Linked DNA regions of Xenopus tropicalis. The protein of the gene in region 1 interacts with the protein of each later gene in a biochemical or structural test. Links are inferred from orthologs where the notes say so. Each region holds a gene or a part of one and is shown on either strand. Other genes may lie near its edges.

Region 1 (10,337 bases):
GATGTGTGTATAAAAGGAAGAGCCACAGATCGTAGATTTTATGACCTGAAGCACTTCCAGGGGCAGATTGCCAGCTTTTACAGCAGGTTATCTGTCTTACCCCCATTCCAAAGCAATAAGGAGGGTGGGGGAGTGGTCTCCCTAGTGGCCCAGGGAATCGCAGATACATGGAAAACACATGTCATGGCTTCAATCTACAGCCCCCTGCCATCTCTAGCTGCACGTAGTGGTTTCTCTAAACACTAAAACTGCCCCATGCAGACCCATGTGTGACAGGAATAATGTCTGCCTGTCACTGCACACATTTCAGCCTGAAAGTGTCCATTTTCTGGCCAAAATCCAGCCTGTGTGTAGATTCCTTTCATTGCCTACATACCACACAAGGTGATAGCAAGCTGTGTATGCATTTTCTCTCCTGGCAAATGTAAAGCACTCATATAAGCCATAGTAATCTTTGCAACTGTCATTACATGCTGAGCTATCTCACTCAAGTATCAATGCGCAATCACAAGAAGTTCCAACCTTGTCTGTCTTGTCCTCGGAGAAAGGGTTTTGTGCCGGGTCCTGGTCGATTCCTCCTCCAATGCTGAAGCCAAGGATCAGATTATCCCCTTGGTGCAATTTATAGATTTCAACCCGTTGCTACAGAAAAAAAGGAATGGAAATTAGTTCCAAATCAAGGACTGAGGTTTAACCCTTCTGGTTATTAGCCATCCCATAAACCCAGTCTGAATATCAGTAACAGTTCCATTCAGTGTAATTTCTTATTTGCTGTTCTTGAAACCAGAGCTGAATGAACTGCTTGACAATGTCCTGGCCAAAGAAAGGACCTTCAACCACTGGGCCAATGTAATTCTTAGCACCATCTTGTCCTCGAAAATACATTGTGTTGTGCATTTGCAGCCCCATGTTGTGAATCTCACCTACCACCACCACCCTGTATCAGGGGTCACTTAGCAACCCCTGCAGTTCCTTATGACTTACAACAGAGATTGGTAAAATTGGAGCTTGGGCCCCTGGCATTCACAATGATTGCTGAACCGCTCTCAGAGCAGCTGTACTTGATATGGGATGAGTGATAACAGGTATAATAGGGCAAAATGGTGAGAGTAAAACATGATATCACTGTTTCCTAATATGTTGGCCTTTGTTTATTTTTAAAGTATAACTTCATGGATCCCCGCCCCCCCCCCCCCCAAAAAAATGGTGTATTACCTTGGACCCGGCCCTGAGAAAAGAATGTGTTCATAGGTAATTGATAAAATAACTGCTAATTTGAAAACAGCACGAAACAGAATATGCAGGGGTTTGTGGAAGGCAGCTTGGCCTACTGCCGTTTTGGAGAGTTACCCAGATATGTGTTTCTATGCACCATATGCCAAACAGCCATGACTCATTGGTTAAACATCTCAGGATCTGGCTCACCCCAACAGAAACTTAGATACGTCTCTATCGCTTGGCCTTCAGCTAGGACTGTCACGCATTCCTCCTGTATCTAAGCCGTCTCTGTCAGAAGGGGGCCACATTTCTATAAGAACATATTCTACTCTATTCTATAACAACACTGCTGAAGAGACAGAGCCAAATGTATCCAATGCAGATATACATTTTTTCAGCAGCCAATACAATTTCTTAGGGTGAAGACACACAGAGCTACTTAGCAGCAGCTACTTTTCACAGCTACTAAACTCCAGAATATACCCTGCCATAGACAATACTGAGAATTGCCTCTGCTAAAACACACGTAGAGACAGTTATCAGTAAATGATCAGCATTGTCTATTTTAGTAGCCACTATAAGTAGCCACTACTAGTAGCTCTGTGTGTCTTCAACCTAAGAAATACAAAATATCCCTACTGTGCCCAACACAATGGTAATTAAAAGTCCAGCCAGCACCCAGAATTGTGATGCAACGTGTCCATAATTTATTTGTTTTTAATCCAAGACAGCAGATCTAAAGATAAAATAAGACTGCATTGTGTGGGCTTTTGAAAACCCACTGGTAGCAGCAGGCTGGCTGTTGGGACAATATTGCAGAATGGGGAAGAAACTGGTGGCTCCAGCCCTTTGGAACCTATGGAGAATGGTAGCAAAGCAAATAAAACCACTGAATAAAAGAGAACAAGTTCTCTGTACTTGATCTTCCATAAGCCTGACTTTGACCCTCGCAAGCACTGAAGAAGGAATGATAACGTGACTATAGAGTTGTATTCCATGGCCAGGATATCCAGCATTTGGTCAGACCCTCTTTAGGAAGGTTACAGCTATATAAATAAAGACACTGTCATGACATTCACTTGCAGTAGTTCCAATAGAAGTAATGGTCAAAACGGAGCTTAAAGTACAAAAATCACTTCTCTCCAACTGGAAGCTCACAGGCTTAATACAGGCCAAGGTCTCCGTGTAGATAATGAGCCCTTGGAGGACAGCATTTCTGCCTCAATGCCAGCCTTCCCCAGTAGATAAAAGGTGTATCTAACAGGGTGTAACCCTTAGACAAACATACTAGGAAAAGTAACACACCAGGGACCTCTGACCTGCCTTATATGAGTCACGCAGACATGCTGGTACAAGCGTGCCCGTGCTATGGCACTGATTTGGTGCAAATAGTTTGCAAAGACGAAGAATGCAACTTGTAGCACAGATACACCTGACCCCACCAGCTCTGTCATGTTTATGTAAGACACGCTGCTCTATTTATAATGTCAGCTAACAGATTTTTTGTTTTTAGTTAAGTGATCTATTCAGGTAGTAAAAATTGCAACCGACTTTAATATAATTGATTTTTTAAAAATTGCAAATTGCCCTTAAGAGGTGCCATAAGGATATACATTTAATTAATGTTTTGCTTGGCCTTTGTGACCTTAAGGTACCTATATACACAAAGGCTAATGACGGGCTGTATAGCTGCAGAGCTGAAAATACTGTAATTACAAGCCCAAGGCCTCAGGATATTTTACCCCTATCATTAGGCTCTATTATTAAAAATCAAATTTGCACCTGGGCAGTAACCCACAGCAAAGAAAAGATATCTTTTTTAATTTCACTGTTCTACCTGCAGTTGGCTGACAAATGCTAATCACTGACTGGATTCTATTGGCTACTGCCCAAGTGCATATTCGCCCAGTGTTGCTAAATGAGGGATCAGGGACACTTTGAGGTACCAGCAGGCCTTGGGCAATATTTCACTGGTAGGTCCCTACTGCTTGTTTGTACTTACTGAAGTAGAGATGGTGTGCCACAGCCATGGGAGTAGAAAAATGATAAATGGAAATGCCACAAGAAAAAAGGCAAAAATAATATAAATAACCATACTGTAGGGATGTACAGTAAAATGTAGGATGCTTCTGCCAAAAGTAAGCCCAGATGAAAAGTGTGCTAGTGGGCCCCCTGTCCTGATGGGTCCTGGGCAAATGCCCCTTTGGCCCAATTATTGAAACAGCCCTGCAAAGTCGGAAACCCTCACTGGGACGACAAGACAAAGCACAAAGGTAACTGGCTCCGCTGTATCCAGGCCTACATCTAATGCCTGCAGGGGAATTCCTTCCCCTAATAAAAGCCTTGCAGTTACCAACTGCATTTAGTCTGCTCACAAAGGCCTCACTATGCAGAGGTTAAAGTGTCTGCCCCGGGCCCCACAGATGGGAACTCTGATATCAAACTGGCTGTATTTAAGAGGATGATGAGGCTCGGTACCGGATAACTCTTCTACACGCCCAGGGAATATTACCAGCGTAAATACATACACACGTATGATAATGCATACTGTTAGCTTTCATTTGTACCGGGCTGATGATTCAGTTTATACCTCCAGGAGATACATTTATTGAATATTCAATTATTTACTTTGATTCAGGCTATGAAAATCAAGTGCACCTGTAAATGCTATCACTTTTATTTCTATATTCTAATTCTAATGTTGCAAAACTATAAATTAACCACCTTTGCAAGCCTGCTAAAACTCATAAAGCCATCGTTGTTAAATGGGTACAGGTAGTTCACCTTAAAATTAACTTTAAATATGATGTAGAAATTGATATTCTGAGACAGTTTGCAATTTGTCTTAATTTTTATTTTTTATAGTTTTCCAGTAATTTAGCTTTATAACAGCTCTCCAGTTTGGTATTGGAGCAGTTATCTGGTTGCTAGGGGTTTATTTATCCTAGCAACCAAGCAGTAGGTTAAACAAGAGACATGAAAATGAATTGATAGAGGAATTCATTATAAAAGGGAGGTTAACTGGGAGTGAGAAAAAGTCAAAATATGCCCTGGCATTTCAAGAACACAGAAGCCCAAACATAATTAAATAATAATATGGCATCCTATAGCTGCCGCTCTGGCATTTGCCAGAATCTCCAGATTGCCAGTCTGCTTTGGAGTACCATCAGAAAAGCATTGAGAAACCACCCTTAAATGAAATGAAACCACCCTTAAAGGGCAAGCAAATAGAAAAATAAATGGGGAGTGGAAAATTGTTAGGCATCCACCAGTGCCTAAAAGTGCTTATGTCCTACCATATGCCAGCGCTCCTCATATAGCGGGGAAGGAAAACAGGGGGATATTCTCCTTACAGTAGATGACAGGGCTGTCCAGCTGGAAGCCCCAAACGCCAGATGTGGCCCATCCACAACATTTTTGTATGGCCCCCAGCATGCACAAGGTCTTCACATACCTCATGGGAGGACATAATAATCTGCCCCACACACACAAGAAATAGTGAGTTTACACTTTACATAATATTAATAACAAATAGTAAACGCCATGGGATTTTACAGTCTGACCATGGCAGAACATCTCCAACCAGCTATAATATGACTGTTCAGCAGACTATTTGGGAGTTTACAAATCCAAGGGATGATGTGGTAATCTCTTGCCCTTCAGCAGAGTGACCACAAAGGTTGTTTAATGGTTGCTTGTTTTACAGGGCAGGGAATGGCGGGTGCCTGAACTACAGCCCAGGGAATGGTGGGTGCCTGAACTACAGCCCAGGGAATGGCGGGTGCCTGAACTACAGCCCAGGGAATGGCGGGTGCCTGAACTACAGCCCAGGGAATGGCGGGTGCCTGAACTACAGCCCAGGGAATGGCGGGTGCCTGAACTACAGCCCAGGGAATGGCGGGTGCCTGAACTACAGCCCAGGGAATGGCGGGTGCCTGAACTACAGCCCAGGGAATGGCGGGTGCCTGAACTACAGCCCAGGGAATGGCGGGTGCCTGAACTACAGCCCAGGGAATGGCGGGTGCCTGAACTACAGCCCAGGGAATGGCGGGTGCCTGAACTACAGCCCAGGGAATGGCGGGTGCCTGAACTACAGCCCAGGGAATGGCGGGTGCCTGAACTACAAACCAGGGAACAGCGGGTGCCTGAACTACAAACCAGGGAACAGCGGGCGCTTGCACTACAGCCCAGGGAACGGCGGGTGCCTGAACTACAGCCCTGGGAATGGCGGGTGCCTGAACTACAGCCCAAGGAACAGTGGGTGCCTGAACTACAGCCCTGGGAATGGCGGGTGCCTGAACTACAGCCCAAGGAACAGTGGGCGCTTGCACTACAGCCCAAGGAACGGCGGGCATTTGCACTACAGCCCAGGGAACGGCGGGCGCTTGCACTACAGCCCAGGGAACGGCGGGCGCTTGCACTAAAGCTCAGGGAACGGCAGGCATTTCCACTACAGCTCAGGGAACGGTGGGCGCTTGCACTACAGCCCAGGGAACGGTGGGCGCTTGCACTACAGCCCAGGGAACGGTGGGCGCTTGCACTACAGCCCAGGGAACGGTGGGCGCTTGCACTACAGCCCAGGGAACGGTGGGCGCTTGCACTACAGCCCAGGGAACGGTGGGCGCTTGCACTACAGCCCAGGGAACGGTGGGCGCTTGCAATACAGCCCAGGGAACGGTGGGCATTTGCACTACAGCCCAGGGAACAGTGGGCATTTGCACTACAGCCCAGGGAACAGAAATGATGGGGAGGAAGGCTCTGCCCTACAGTACAAGGAATCATCAGCTGGGGGCGCTGTTGCATTGTAGCTGATGGAAGTTGGGGCAGCGCTTGCCTGTAAGACACAATGGAATGACGGGGGGCTCCTGAAGTTTCGGAGCGGGGGTGTGAGCATTACGTAAGGCTCAATACAGACACTAGCGGCGGGCAGGTTGTGTAAGCCCATATAACAGGGTACATGGAAGGGAAGGGAGGTACAAGCCGAATTGGGCCCCGTCCCTGCGGCTCCCCCGATTCACCCAAACTCACCACTACAGCAGTGACCGGCTGGCCCGGGATGTAAGACATGGCTGCTAGCTCACTCCGGCAACACCCGAGCGGGACAAAGTATGCCCGGGCCTCGGCCACGCCCACTCCTCCGGAATGATGATCCGCCCGCACACTAACTGCACGCATGTAGGCACGCCTCCTCATTAATATTAATCCCACACACCCACCTACACCCCTCCCTGTAACCATGTGTGTGCCGGGGCGGCACTGTCATCTGATCCGGCTGCCTGCTAACTACTCCTACTTCCACATTCTCTGCAGTTTATATGGGGATCCTGGGAAATGTAGTTCGGAACTGTTGCCTGCCACCATCAACCCCTGATAAAGTTCTATTATTGGCGTTTGAAAATATTGGTTCATTGTGTTTTGTATGGGGCTTTCTGCAGCTATAACAATGAGCCGTATTGGGACTGTGGGGAGTTATTACTGTTTCTCCTCAGGACTGGGGCACCTGCTCTGGTAGCACTACAGCAGCATACCAGCAACACTAGCACAGAGCTATGATATCCTGTGTCCATTACAGCCCCATAAATGCTTCTTGGTAATGTACTTTGTGTCCCCTTGTGGTAAAATATAAGGCTATTAGAAGTCACCTGTATGAAAGAGCATTTATATAAAGTAATTGTAAATGGTCATGGGACTCCTTGGTGACTTATAATACCCTAATAGTGTAAAATAATGTCGACTTTATTCGCTATATAAATGGTACTTAATGATGTCATCAGTCATCATAGGTGCTTAGTGATGTAATTCTGCACATGATGCATTTAAGCAGTCGGCCATGTATTTTTATATGGTCATTAGGTTGGGACTGAAATTTGTGGGTTCTGGCAAATGCCAGAGGGGCTGCTGTAAGGCGCCATAGACAGTCACTATTTATTGGGCTGGTAGGGGGCTGTTTGGCCTCTGTGTACTTGTAATGCCAGCGCCTTATTTGATGGTCAGATGGGACCTTATGGTCATGGAACTTGTTGGTGACTTATAATATATTTATATTTTACAGTAGGAGGTACATTATTCACTATATTATCACCTTGTATAATCACATTACCTTTGGGCATAGTACTACATTTTGGATTGTAAACTCTATAGGGCAGGGATCTCCTCCTTCTTGTCTCTTAAAATGTAACTGTATTTTTTGCATTTACATTCTATTATCTTTTATATTAATGTAAAATGCTGTGTACAGAATTAGTGCTATATAAAAATATATACTGTACATTCATGTTTTAGACCTGCCTTATTGTCCAGTACTATAAAAGGAGTTATATAATCCCATATATCTATCCAATCAATCTAATCTCTCTCATCATCTATCATTTCTCTCTGTTTAGCTATCAAATCGATTTATATTTACCTAATTTAGTAATGAATCCAATCTACCCACCAATCTAAGATTATTTATCTGTCTAATCTATCTATTGGCAATGTTTATTAGCCTTTAGGGCTCTGGCAGACGGGGAGACTAGTCGCCCGCGACTAATCTCCCCGAAATACCATCCCACTGGTGAGTATGTAAATCGCCGGTGGGATGGCATACACGGCGCCGCGATTTCCCCCGAAATTGCAGAAGTTTCTTTTCAAGGCAACTTCCATGAATTTGGGGAAATTGCGGCGTGCGTATGCCATCCCACCAGCGAATTACATTTTCACCGGTGGGATGGCATTTCGGGGAGATTTGTCGCGGGCAACTAGTCTCCCCGTCTGCCAGAGCCCTTAAGCACACAAGCCAAATTCATCATTGCTGTTCAATAGACAGGTCACTGAGCCAGTAGTACAAACACATTTGCTGACATGTTTTTATCTTCGATGCGTTGATTGAGCAATTGTCCTCTGAAAGCATCACAGAAGGCTGTATTTGTTAGGCTTATGAACAGCGTGCAGGACACAACACTGTGGTGGTCTCCGCTAATATCATCCAGCATCACAGGTGCTTCTCAAGCTTGAGCAAGCGTATACACACAAACATCATTTTAAAGGGGGCCCATTGCAAAGGTGAGGATTTAATATATACTTCATCTCATGGCACAAATAAACTTTAAAACAAAATCAATTTTAAATTTTTTACCATTTATTAAATAACCAGGTTATTCTCCTCATTCCCTCCAATGTCTAGGTAAAGGGGGCACAAACGAATGTCTAGTACCTGTCAATCAAAATCAGAGAGGGCTGTATAAATAGATACATATTGCTGAGAGGGGCTAATGAAAGAGTAACTTAATATATTGAACATTTCTTATTTCTGTGAAATGAAGATCATATTATATCTAGGGCTGCACTGAATTCAGGATTTGGTTTGGCCGAATCCAAGTGCCTGGCTGAACCAAATCCAAATCTTTAAAATCACGTGACTTTTCATAGCAAGAGTGTTTAAGTTAAACAATTTTTACCTAATGCATGAGTCCTCTAACATTTCTGTAGCCTAATCTGCATTTGGAAATTGGAAATTAGGGTTTGAATTCTAGAAAATCTTTCTCAAAATATTTGGGCGAATCCCAAAATCCCCCATTACATCTTCATTTTTCCTTTAAAAAAATGATTCACTCTACATAATCTCTGTGGTTTTAATGTTATGGTACTTATTGTACAGTGCTGCAGAATATGTTGGCGCTTTATAAATAAATGTTAATAATAGTTCCCTATAATACTCATGCTAGTATCCCAGCATTGAAATGAACTGAGTAAGTACATCACTGGCAACGGAGAATCTCAAAGCATATTTATTCACATTTCTGTTGTAAGGACGATTTCAAACAATTGTTTAAACGTTTAATACCATGGACTTTGCATCAGATCTAACAAAAGGTTTTGTATTCAACAATTCATGGGTTTTTATCTGCAAAGGAAGAGAACAGTGGTGTGACTTCTTCCTCCAGGCAAAACAAGGGCTCTCTAATACTAACTAAACAACAAAATATTCAAAGGGCTTAAAACTAGGACTGTACATTTGTACTCAGATGTGCTGAAAGATAACTGATTGCTTTAGTTAAAGCAGTGACCTTGAGCTTGGCAGCTGCTAAAATAGTGAGCCCTAGTGGTGAGAGGATTTGGCTTGCCTACAAAAGATTTCAATAGACCTGTTCACAGATTCCGTTGTTTCTAAGAAGCACAGAAAAAAAACCCTAAGGTTCTTGGGAAATACAAAGTCACACCATAGGTGTTTGCTTTGCCTTTTGCCAAAGTAGATTTGCAAGAGCTAGTACTAGTGCTGCAGCATTTCTGTAAATAAAGAAGTATACCCCTTTTTTCAACATTAGGTCAATGATCACAACTTTGCCTTTTGTTTTAGTTATGAAATTTGTTATTTCTTGTACTAAACAGGGAAAACTAAAAGTTATAAGTAAAGGCACATTCTACTTTCTGATTCATATGAGCACAATCTAAGCTCGACCAGTGATTTGTTTTCATTTTGCTTGTCAGTAGAGGAAGCAGAGTATAACTTTGATCTTTAGATTTTGGCCTGTTTAGTGCAAGACGTAAAACAATAGACAAAAAGTATGCTGAGCACTAGACATTACAATTATACATTAAGCTAATGTTGAAAAAAGGGGGTATATTGCCCCTGTAACCGTATGCGAATGAGCTACGTATGGGCTGGTCTAATTTATGCCCCTACAGGACATGTGGCAGGACCAATCAATGTACACAGCCTATGCACTTGTCCTTTATTTTTCCCTGACTTTAGATGAGAATGACAGGTCGTTGCAATTGTATTTCCAGTGACAGGTGATGTAACCAAAAACAAGGAGATTAAACCAGGTACATGTGGAAAGCCCAGGCCATCAAAGTTAATTGCTGTTGAGGGGAACTACACTATGTTGGAGGCTGCACTCAAGCCACCCCCCTCCAAGGGGCCTGTGCTGTGGTGTAATTACGCCACTGCTTCCAAAGAGTGAGGTTTAATGGCAATGCTATGTTAAACTCAACACTGGAGGTGCAAAGGTGACGCCACCTTATCCATTATACCATCAAGGAATACATATGCTGTATGGCTGATTCATTAGATTACATGCATTTTGTATAATACCATTATCTGTATACCATGTCTATTTTAGAGGTGCAAACTCTAT
Region 2 (9,729 bases), on another chromosome or scaffold:
GAAATTAGCCACTATGAGTTCACACAGTTTTCTTCTAGGTGCTGGGAGTATCCCATGCAAATTAGGGAGCTTATGAAAATGGGTGGACAGACTCAAAATTTAGGGCATAGTGAGGGTAAAATATATAGCTATATAAGGATGTATACAGATTTCCTTAATTCCTACGCACATTCCCCATAGATTTCTTATTCTCTGGATAAATGTTTTGTATGCATTATAATAACACACCTTGCTTCTCATTGCTGTAACTGCAGTTCATAACTCACTGTATGGCGATTTCAGGTCCACCAATGGGACATTTAAAGACACCTTAAAGCAAATCGAAATGAAGGCGGAATGCGGTGGCCTGCCCATGTTTTCATTCCTAATTTTGCCAATGCAGAGAGTTACACGTCTTCCTCTACTGATGGATGTAAGTAGTCTGAACATTTACATTAACATTTATTGAACGTGTGGCGAAGCTGCCATATTGCACAAATGTTCCCTAGTCTGAGCTGACTTGGTTAAGGCATAATGGAATGGGAAAGGGTTGAGATAAAAGAAATAACAACAGAAAAGAATAGGGTAAGTTTGGTCTGCCAGGGTACCAGAACATCTACTAGTGGGCCCACCCAGAATCATTCCCATCAACCCTTTTTACAATCTGTTATTGTCATTGTAGCAGTTGATGTAAATATTGCCTTTGCCCCTGTTAACTATTACTTAGGCACAGTATGCAGTTGTGTAGGCAGAAGGGAACCCTGTTTACACCTGCAGTTGCCCATGCTGCGTCCAACTTCTCTGCCTCTGGTGGCACCCCTCTCTCTTGCCTGCCAGGATTCTATTTTAGTTAGTAATCTTGATATACAAAGTTACAGATAGTAAGTTATTAAACATCTCATACAGTGATCTCTCTCCACCACTCACCCAGTCCAATGCTGAATAACCACAAACTAAAGGGGGGAGAAAAATGAAGAAAAGAAAAAGTGTATGCACAAGAAAATGTATTAAAAATGGTGGAAGAGAACAGAGGAAAAGTAAGTTTGGAGAAACAGCAGGAAAAGGGTGAGGGCAGAATTGAAAAGGGCAGAAATAGGAAAAACTCTGGCACATTCCAGAAATTGATCCCTCCATGGCTTGGGTGCAGTAGTGAATTATGTGCCTTGCCCTATCCTGTAGAACTGGTGATTATCTGGGCAACTGCTCATGCCTTTTTTACAGCAATGATCTTACACAGGGTTTAGACTCAACATTAACCGTGCATGGGCAGATAAGCTACAAAATCGACCTGAAGGACCATAATGGGCAGCTTAAATCTGCCTGTGTATGGCAACCTTTAATTGTGGTTCCCAACATCTTGGTAGAACTGATTTATGCAGTAACATGATACACAATTTGCTGAAATATCATATTAAGCAGTAAAATTTGATTTGATTAATGATATTAGAATAATGAAAGAAAAGGTCTTTTTAGCTATGGGTGCAATTTATTCTCAACATTTATTTGCCATAACAAATTGTGATTTTTGTTATTGTTGTATGCTTTTTTCCCTAGACTATTTGCCAAAAAATGGACATGCGCACTAAAGAATATGGAGAGACAACTCATGCCCTGAAAGCCTTAAGCAAGGTTAGCTGGAGCCCTTTTTAGCACTGCTTTTTGTATAAACTAATGTATTTTCTATCACAGCAGAACTGATGCAGAGTTGAGCCTTGTCTGAACCCAAATACTTGCACCAGTTTCCTTCAGGTTTGAACCAAGTCCAGTGACAGGTGCAGTTTGGAGGGGACCTAAGGTTATAAGCACTGTTTAAGAAAGGGATCATCTGCTGGTTATGTGTAAAAAAATTTTATTTCGGACACAATTTTGCTTACTAATTAAATGTAAGATGGTGGTAGAACCCTGTCCAGAATGCTTCCAGTTGTCCTGGTGAGAAGCACCTCTGAAAATTTAATTGCGTCTCCTAGCTCCACATTTTAGCGATAAGCTGCCAGCTGGAGGGAAGCAGCTTCTGATTCCCCTACAAGCAATTTATCAGGTCCTGTCCACAATCTGACATGGACCCGATGCTCTCACTCGTTTACTGAGAACAGAGAGCTTTTTTCCAAGGTAAATTAGAGACAGCATGGGGTTCATGTAGTCCTTGCATGTGAATTAACACCATGCATAGCAATTTAAAAAAATTCTATTACTAAGATAATGACCAAATTTGGTCAAATCCAGAAAATAAAGTTTATTTAAATACGTAGGCAAGTTTGCTCGGGGACACTGCTGGTTGCTTATTAAATATGTTATTAGAAAAGCAATTTCTTGTGGTGCTTTATGAACCAAGCAATTACCTCCTGAATCCCTTTGCAGATAGGTAAACACATGTTTTTCTATTGGTTTCTGTTAACAGTTGGTTAAGCAGTGCAATGAAGGGGCACGGAAGATGGAAAGGACAGAACAGATGTACACCCTGCAAACGCAGCTTGAGTTCGGAAAGATCAAGGTAGGAAGTCTGTTTACAAAAATTTTAAAAAAAAGTGTATTTCCATATTTATGCATAACCAGTATACACATGAGCAGCTGCATTTACTTAGGTTTTGTACCTACAGTAAGGAGCAGCTAATTCTGCATTCAGCTATCATCATCTGTTTGTTCTCAATTGTAAAACTCTGAGGCCATGTTTTCTCATGTACACACTGGGCAGAATAACTTTTACAGAACCGTGTTTTGTGCTCAGAATATTGTCTGTTATGTACGGCAGGTGTTATCATTGGGGCAAAGTAAATGTGCACCAAGAGCTCTTCCCAGTTTCATTTTTTTTTTTAGCTATTTTAGAAAAAGTCATCAAAGGAGAATTAATCCCTAAAAATAAATATGGCTAAAATTGCTATATTTTGTAAACTGAATGTTGCATCCCCAGTAGGATTATTTGCCTCCAGTAAAGATTAATTATATCTTCACTGGGATCAAGTACAAGGTACTGTTTTGTTATTACAGAGAACAAGGAAATAGTTTTTTAAAAATGCAAATTGTTTGATTAAAATGGAGTCTACGGGGGATGGCCTTCAAATAATTTTGGAATTTCTGGATAGTGGGTTTCCAGATAAGAGACCCAAGATGTAGTTCAAAGTTGTGCACAGGGTTTTTGGATTTTGTTAAGCAACTTTGCACATACTAAGGGGCAGATTTATTAATGTACAATCAGTCCGAATCAGACTTTTTCGTACTTTGCGACAAAATTTTTGCGACAAAATCGTATTGTCATTTAAGCTTCGGTATCATGACTTTCCTTGAGCCAGGTCGGAGCTGCAGAGTGCCATTGAGTCCTATGGGAGGCTTCCAAAATCATGCACAGTAGGATCAAAGTCGGAAAGGTTTTACCAATTATGATCGTTCTATACGAAAATTTTGTGACTTTCAGATCGCCAATATGATATTATCGTGATATTTGCGATCATCAGAAATTATCGTATCCAATCCGAATTTTACCCATTTCGGGATTCGAACTCGTACTTTGGTGAATGTGCCCCTTAGTGTGATCTGGGCAGCTTTTGCAAATCCGAGCTTAGGGGCTGTCACAAATTTTCAAGCAGCAAATGAGCTAAAGCTACAGGGCTGATTATTAAAATCTGATGCTATATTGAAGTGGTTTTAGAGCTGTGTCTGTATTATATACTAATTAGACTATTGTGATATTCATGTATGTGTCATTATGAAAAGGTGGTTTCTCAGATTTCCTTTTGACAAGGAATGAACCTTGTTACCATTTGGCAGACTTTCAGACCATTCCGTTTGTGAAGAAGGATTCATTTTTTCTTTTGCTTTCCTAAATTAGCCTTTTCCACTCATTTCTGCCTCGCGCTGGTTGCTGAAGAGAGGTGAACTTAACCTTGTAGAGGAATCTGGAGTTTTCTGGAAAGGCTTTGGAAAGACTTCTTGCTATCTCTTCTTATTCAATGACATCCTTATAATAACAAAGAAAAAAAGGTGATGTTACTATGAATATATGATACACCAACCTATTCTACTGTGTGTTTCAAAATATACAAATGTTTGTTCTCTAAAACTAATAAAAACTTCAAATTAAAAAAAAAAAAATAAAAATGAACGTGCGCTACAGATGGTAATTTCCTAGGCTCAGGTGAAGGGCAAAGTGAGGGGGTGGGGGCAGTTACAGAAGGCTACAGGGAATGTTTCATCCTAAGAACAAATAATGGGTGGTGCCAGACTGGCAGTACTAGGAAAGAACCATTTAATGGAATGTTTTTTAAAGGTAGGCAAGACCATTGCTTGGTATTGAAGGTAGACTGGAATGTACCACTAGACAGAGCTACGGATTGGGGGTTTCCACAGATAATGTTAAAGAATAAGCCCTTAGGCTGGCTCTATTCTCTGTGCAAATTCCTAAACAGATTTTTGATGCTAATATGTGAAGCCATTTTGTATCACTTACAAGTAAAAGAAAACCCTTATAGTATTTCCTTTTGTGTAGTTTCTACTATTGTTGTAGTTGTTGCATGTTTTTTTTTATGTTTTCAGTGAGGAAAACTACATTGTAACAGATTATGTCATGATGGATCAGTTTGCTGTGGCTAAAATAGAAAATGGTGACCCACAGCTATCGCCTCCTGCAAAGACTGGGACAAGTGGCCCCCGTAGTCCAAATGGGCCCTTCTTGTTCCAGATTCATATCAGTAAGAACAGTGAAGGGAAACAGGATGAAATTGTGTTGGCGGCTGACAGTCTGTAAGTATCTGCCATTGTACCTGTTACTTTTTGCATTGCAGGTTTATTGAATAAATGAGAGAGCTAGCAGTATTTATAACTAGATAAAGGTAAAATATATGCTCAGATCCCACTAACGATAGCTCAGTATACAACGCATATCTGGGCACTGAGCGAATACCAACTATCTGATAGGCATTGTCCAACCTACCTGCAGCATCCTGTGGCAGAGAGTATCAAGACTATAGGAGTTGTAGTTCAACAAAAACAAAGGTCCAAAGTTGGGCATTCCAAGGCGAGATCTCATTACGCATGTTTATATGCAGGAGTGATAGAGCACGGTGGGTTGCTGCACTTGAGCGGAAGGAAGACAACAAAGAGAACAGCAGATCTAGGAGAGGAGGTAAGAAAATATGGAAGTGATCACCATGGCACAGAAGGTAGAGCCTGCTTGTTTGTGCTTTATTTAGAATGATGATTATTTTAAAGAAAAATAAAACGATGTAATGATTTAGGCAAAAATGTGCTAGTGTAATAAACAATATAAAGTTAGCCCATATCAACCAATCGGTGTCTGGTTTCAGATAACTGAACGGTAAATGCTGCCTGCGGCCTTGTGCTTTTATGTGGTCATGGAACTCCTGTGATTTCCCTGGTCGTACTCCATATCAGCACTATCTGGGATATCCCCGCCCCCATGCCCCATCAGAAGGATCCTCCCCAAAGCTTTAAAAGCCACCCCCACCCCCTCTATGGCGTCTTTTTTTCCTTCTGCTTTCCTTGCTCCATTGGAAGCAACGTTTTTGCTTTTTAGCCTTGGGAAAGCATTAGGTGACCGGAAATGGCACCTAGGGACTGGGGTTTTTTGGTCCATGAGATCTTTTCCCCTGCACATTACCTCATATCCTGGGATCTTCGGCTCTGTTCTGCTTGATAAGGTAGGACAATGCTGTTGGTATATTTGATCCCATGTGCCTTTCTGGTTTGTCATAATGGCATCCAATGGCAAGTGCTAGTCCCCCCATCCGTATGCCCTCCCAGGCCGTGAGTGTCTGGTGGCAATGGTGTGTGGCCCGACACACTTAATATTTTTGCGGATGGGCGAGGGAGGTGGAAGTTAGCAGTCCTCAACATTTAGTTAGTGGCCTGAGTCTGGCGATCTCCATATTCCTTTTTGTTCTACTGTGTGGAGAGATTTTTTTTTTTTTAATAGAGCCAGAGTTCAAAGCCTACTGCCTCCCTCACAAAGTCTTTCCTAAGGTTTTGTATTAAGAGGTGTTTAAAAAAAAAAAAAAAAAAAAAAAAAAAAGGGCCTGACACCCCACTGTCTTTAAACATTGGGCTGCATTATGTACTACAAATGGGTTAGTTTGCCTGCTAGTTGCTACATACCTGGATAGCTTTAGCTGAATGTAACCAGTCAAATATTATGGTTACTTGCAGACAGATTGGGTGATTCATTGAACCTTTCAGTTGCTCTGGATTGTGTTACAGTTGCTAGGGCAGAGCCATGTAGTAACCTTGGGAACTGCCTAATGAAATGCATTCCTGAGTAGCCTCAGGTGAATGTGATTATGTGCTAAGCTACACTCTACCTGAGCTTTCCAGAGATTGCAGCAGTCCTGTGTCATGGCTACTTGCTGATACATGGGGTAATGCGTCAACTCCTTTCAGCTGCCCGCATTGTGTTATGGTTGCTAGGGCACTGTAGTGTAGTTACTACTAAGAACTGGCTAATTAGATGCATTCCTGAGTAGTCTCAGGTGAATGTGATTACGTGATCAGCTACACTCCAGCTGAGCTTCCCAGAGAGTTGCACCAGTTCTGTGTTATGGCTACTGCTACTACACCAGGTAATGCACTAATATTTCACTTACTGTGGAAGGTGTTTATAGTAGTCAGGGCATTATAGAGTTGAAGTAACTCTGAGATCTGTATCTGCATTAGCTGGGTATAATTATGTGTATGCACATGGATCCAGTACTTTGCCATCACGATTGTAGCCAGATTGTATTGCTGCATTAGGGCTGAAGTTGTTCAGGTGCCTCGCTAGTAGTAGCCTGGCTAATTATGTTTAAAACTCTGTATAAGGGTCTGTAGTATAACCCTACTGGCTAATTGGGGTGTAACCAGAGTACCTCTGCTGAAGGTAATTATGTAATTAGCCAAAGGTGTTGTGGCTCTCATTCCAGTCCTGAGTTCCCAGAGTATAGCACCATAGGCTGGGAAGGTAAGGTTCTGTATACTGATTTTGTTTGCTGGTTTCCTATATCAGTCCTCCTTTAGGAACCTCTTTCCAGTTTTTGATGCCTAAGGTAGGCCATAACTATTGGCTTAGAGAGCTATAGTATTATAGAAATCGAGAGCCCTTTATTCTGATCACTTAAAGGTGTTTTGTAGCACACTGCAGAGGGCTGTAATCCTACCTTGTCAGCTAGCAGCAATTATTGGCCGTGCTTTGGGGTCCCCAGGCCAGGCTTGTGTTGCTACCAGTAAACTAACACAATTATTGATTTGTGATTAGCATTATCTGCATATGTGTTAATAGTGTATTGCCATGTAGTTTTCTTTCAGGCTATGCATGGGCACATTGCCATTAAGTGTTCCTATACTTATGCTGTATGTTTCTCTGTACAATAATCACCAGCAGATTTTTTTTTTTTTTTTTTTCACTTTTCTAAGGTTTAGAACCCTGTATTATGTATGCTTAAACTGCAAATGTCTGGGTACCAGATAATATTCATTAGTTCTTCAGCAACCCTGTAGAACCCTGTATTATGCATGCTTAAACTGCAAATGTCTGGGTACCAGATAATATTCATTAGTTTTTCAGCAACCATTGGCTGGTAACAATTTGGGCAGTAAGCATACCTAAAGCTTTAGCTGACTGAATGTTTGCTGTACTGGGCAATGTGCATGTTCATGAATCTGCAGCCCAAACAGAGTGCATCTCTAGCATCTCCAAATATGTGCTATTAGCATGCCTAAAGCTGCAGCACAATTCATGGTTCCTGTATTATGCATGCTTAAACTGCAAATGCCGGGGTACAAAATAATATTCATTAGTTTCTGCAGCAACCAGAGTCTGGTACCAGTTTGGGCAGTAAGCATACCTAGAGCTTTAGCTGACTGAATGTTTGCTGTACTGGGCAATGTGCATGTTTATGAATCTGCAGCCCAAACAGAGTACTATCTCCAGCATTTCTTTTATCTGTGCTATTAGCATGCCTAAAGCTGCAGCACAATTCATGGTTCACTGTGTCCTATTATTGATAAGCTTCATAAGCTGTTGCCAGTTCTGGGTTTTGTAGGCCTTTTTTGCAGTACTTCTAAGACCAGGTAGTATGTATGGGCCAAGCTGCAGGTTTCATTGGGCCCTGTGGGTATGCAAGCGGAATGCATTACGGTTATAACTACATCTGAACCAAAAGGGTTATGCTCACATGCTGTAGTTCAACTGTGGGGCCATTGGGCCTGTAGTAATTATTGAGCCTGGCATAAAACCATGATCCATAATATGCTGCAAAACAAACATTCCTCTGAGTTTGCAGTTATTCTAGAGCCCAGCAACATGCGTTCCTTTGTGCTGCAGGGAGGCATCACTTTAGTAGTATATACACTTGGCGAACAGCATCTGACTTGCATGTTCGACAGGGCTCTCTCATGAGTTTGATCTACATGGTAAGTCAGTCCAAAAACATTAAATAGTTAAATAGGGGCTGGCTCCATGACCGGTTTGAAGCAAACCCATCAGTGTGTTCATGAATCTCCGCATTGCTAGTGTATAACACTAGCCTTTTTTGAAAGGTGCCAGTACACTTGTTGGTATTGCCTCTTGGGAGCTAAAGGCTGGCAGGTTGCAGCCAATCTCATGGCATCTGCGGGATCGCAGTAGCTCAAGCAGGGTAATAAGATGGCATGTACATTACATCTTAATTATGTTGCTGGGTATCTTCTCTGCCTTGAATAGCTTCACAGCTAAACGCTTGTTTTCGAAGCTGTTTTTTGTTGACAGGGGTTAGGTGTTTTTTGCCCAGCAAGCAGCCGTTAAATAGACTATGCATTACCTTGCTAAGCTATCATTGTCACTTCTGTTGGGTTCGGAGGGTCTAACCCTTGCATTGAATTGGCTGTGGGATTACAGCTGTTTAGGCATATTGTATACATTCTACAGGGCTTGAGAATATATAAAGGTTCACCTGGCTTCCAATTACATGCTGTAAGTAAATGTTTTGGGGTAGCTGCCATTCCATACCTAGTTCCCCCAAGAGGACACGTGTTTGCTCTTTGGGTTTTCTGTTATACACTGTTCTGATTGCAGGGCATATGGCAGGGAATGACCTGGTCTCTCAAGGGATGTCACATTCGCACTGCTTGGGATGACCTATGCTTTCCAATTTATGGACTGTGCCATCATAGTCTCTAGAGGTAAGTTCTACCTACATCTCCCTGCCTAGGGCCCAGTTATCTGGCCCATAGTATTGCCTGCGCAACAGTAAATTACTTGCCCTGAAGTATTCTCCCTTGGGTGAGGGTGCCTCCAGCTGGGAAGCTTGAAACAGGGTGTTTTTGACTTCCATCAAATTAGTCCGGATACAGGGCATACACACTGGTTAGGTCTAGAAGCTCTAACCTTAACTCATACTTGAAAGACATTCCTTATTCCTACCCAGTTGTCTACATTGGCTGGGATTGTCTTCCTGTTCCTATGCTATATATTAGTTTAGCGGCATGGTGGCTATGAGTATGCCTTCCCGTCCAGGGTATATCATATGTAGTGGCATTGCCGTTCATGTCTTCTGTCATGGGTTGCCCTGCTTGTCTCATTTTATGCTAGTCCCCATAAAGGGACAGCATATAGCCCAAAAATTAGGGACTGTTTTGTCATTGCAGTACCTGAGATTCCTGGAATTAGGTTACTCTTGTGGAGGGTTATCATTCTAGTATGTGACCTCGGCATGAGAGCAACCTTTAAAGATTATGGGATAGAGTGCTACTAGCGGTCAAGAGGTCAGCATAAGCACATATAGGACTCAT

What was found.
Region 2: the proteins of tax1bp3 (region 1) and arhgef16 form a complex in vitro, tested with the Homo sapiens proteins (2 studies listed by BioGRID and IntAct, with this or other methods). The link is inferred for Xenopus tropicalis from reciprocal best matches to the Homo sapiens genes TAX1BP3 and ARHGEF16.

The regions. Positions count from the first base shown.
Region 1 is NC_030678.2:30,660,914-30,671,250, forward strand, and holds the start of tax1bp3 (tax1-binding protein 3), read right to left. Parts: upstream 6,305-10,337; 5' UTR 6,286-6,304; coding exon 6,247-6,285; intron 6,241-6,246; exon of another isoform or gene 6,022-6,240; coding exon of another isoform or gene 4,903-6,021; exon of another isoform or gene 4,121-4,902; intron 643-4,120; coding exon 523-642; intron 1-522. Other genes in the region: hornerin-like, read right to left, coding at 4,903-6,021. UniProt on the Homo sapiens protein: May regulate a number of protein-protein interactions by competing for PDZ domain binding sites. Binds CTNNB1 and may thereby act as an inhibitor of the Wnt signaling pathway. Competes with LIN7A for KCNJ4 binding, and thereby promotes KCNJ4 internalization.
Region 2 is NC_030683.2:101,740,076-101,749,804, reverse strand, and holds part of arhgef16 (rho guanine nucleotide exchange factor 16), read left to right. Parts: intron 1-282; coding exon 283-412; intron 413-1,533; coding exon 1,534-1,608; intron 1,609-2,377; coding exon 2,378-2,470; intron 2,471-3,802; coding exon 3,803-3,954; intron 3,955-4,506; coding exon 4,507-4,713; intron 4,714-5,018; coding exon 5,019-5,095; intron 5,096-6,797; exon of another isoform or gene 6,798-6,922; intron 6,923-9,013; exon of another isoform or gene 9,014-9,729. UniProt on the Homo sapiens protein: Guanyl-nucleotide exchange factor of the RHOG GTPase stimulating the exchange of RHOG-associated GDP for GTP. May play a role in chemotactic cell migration by mediating the activation of RAC1 by EPHA2.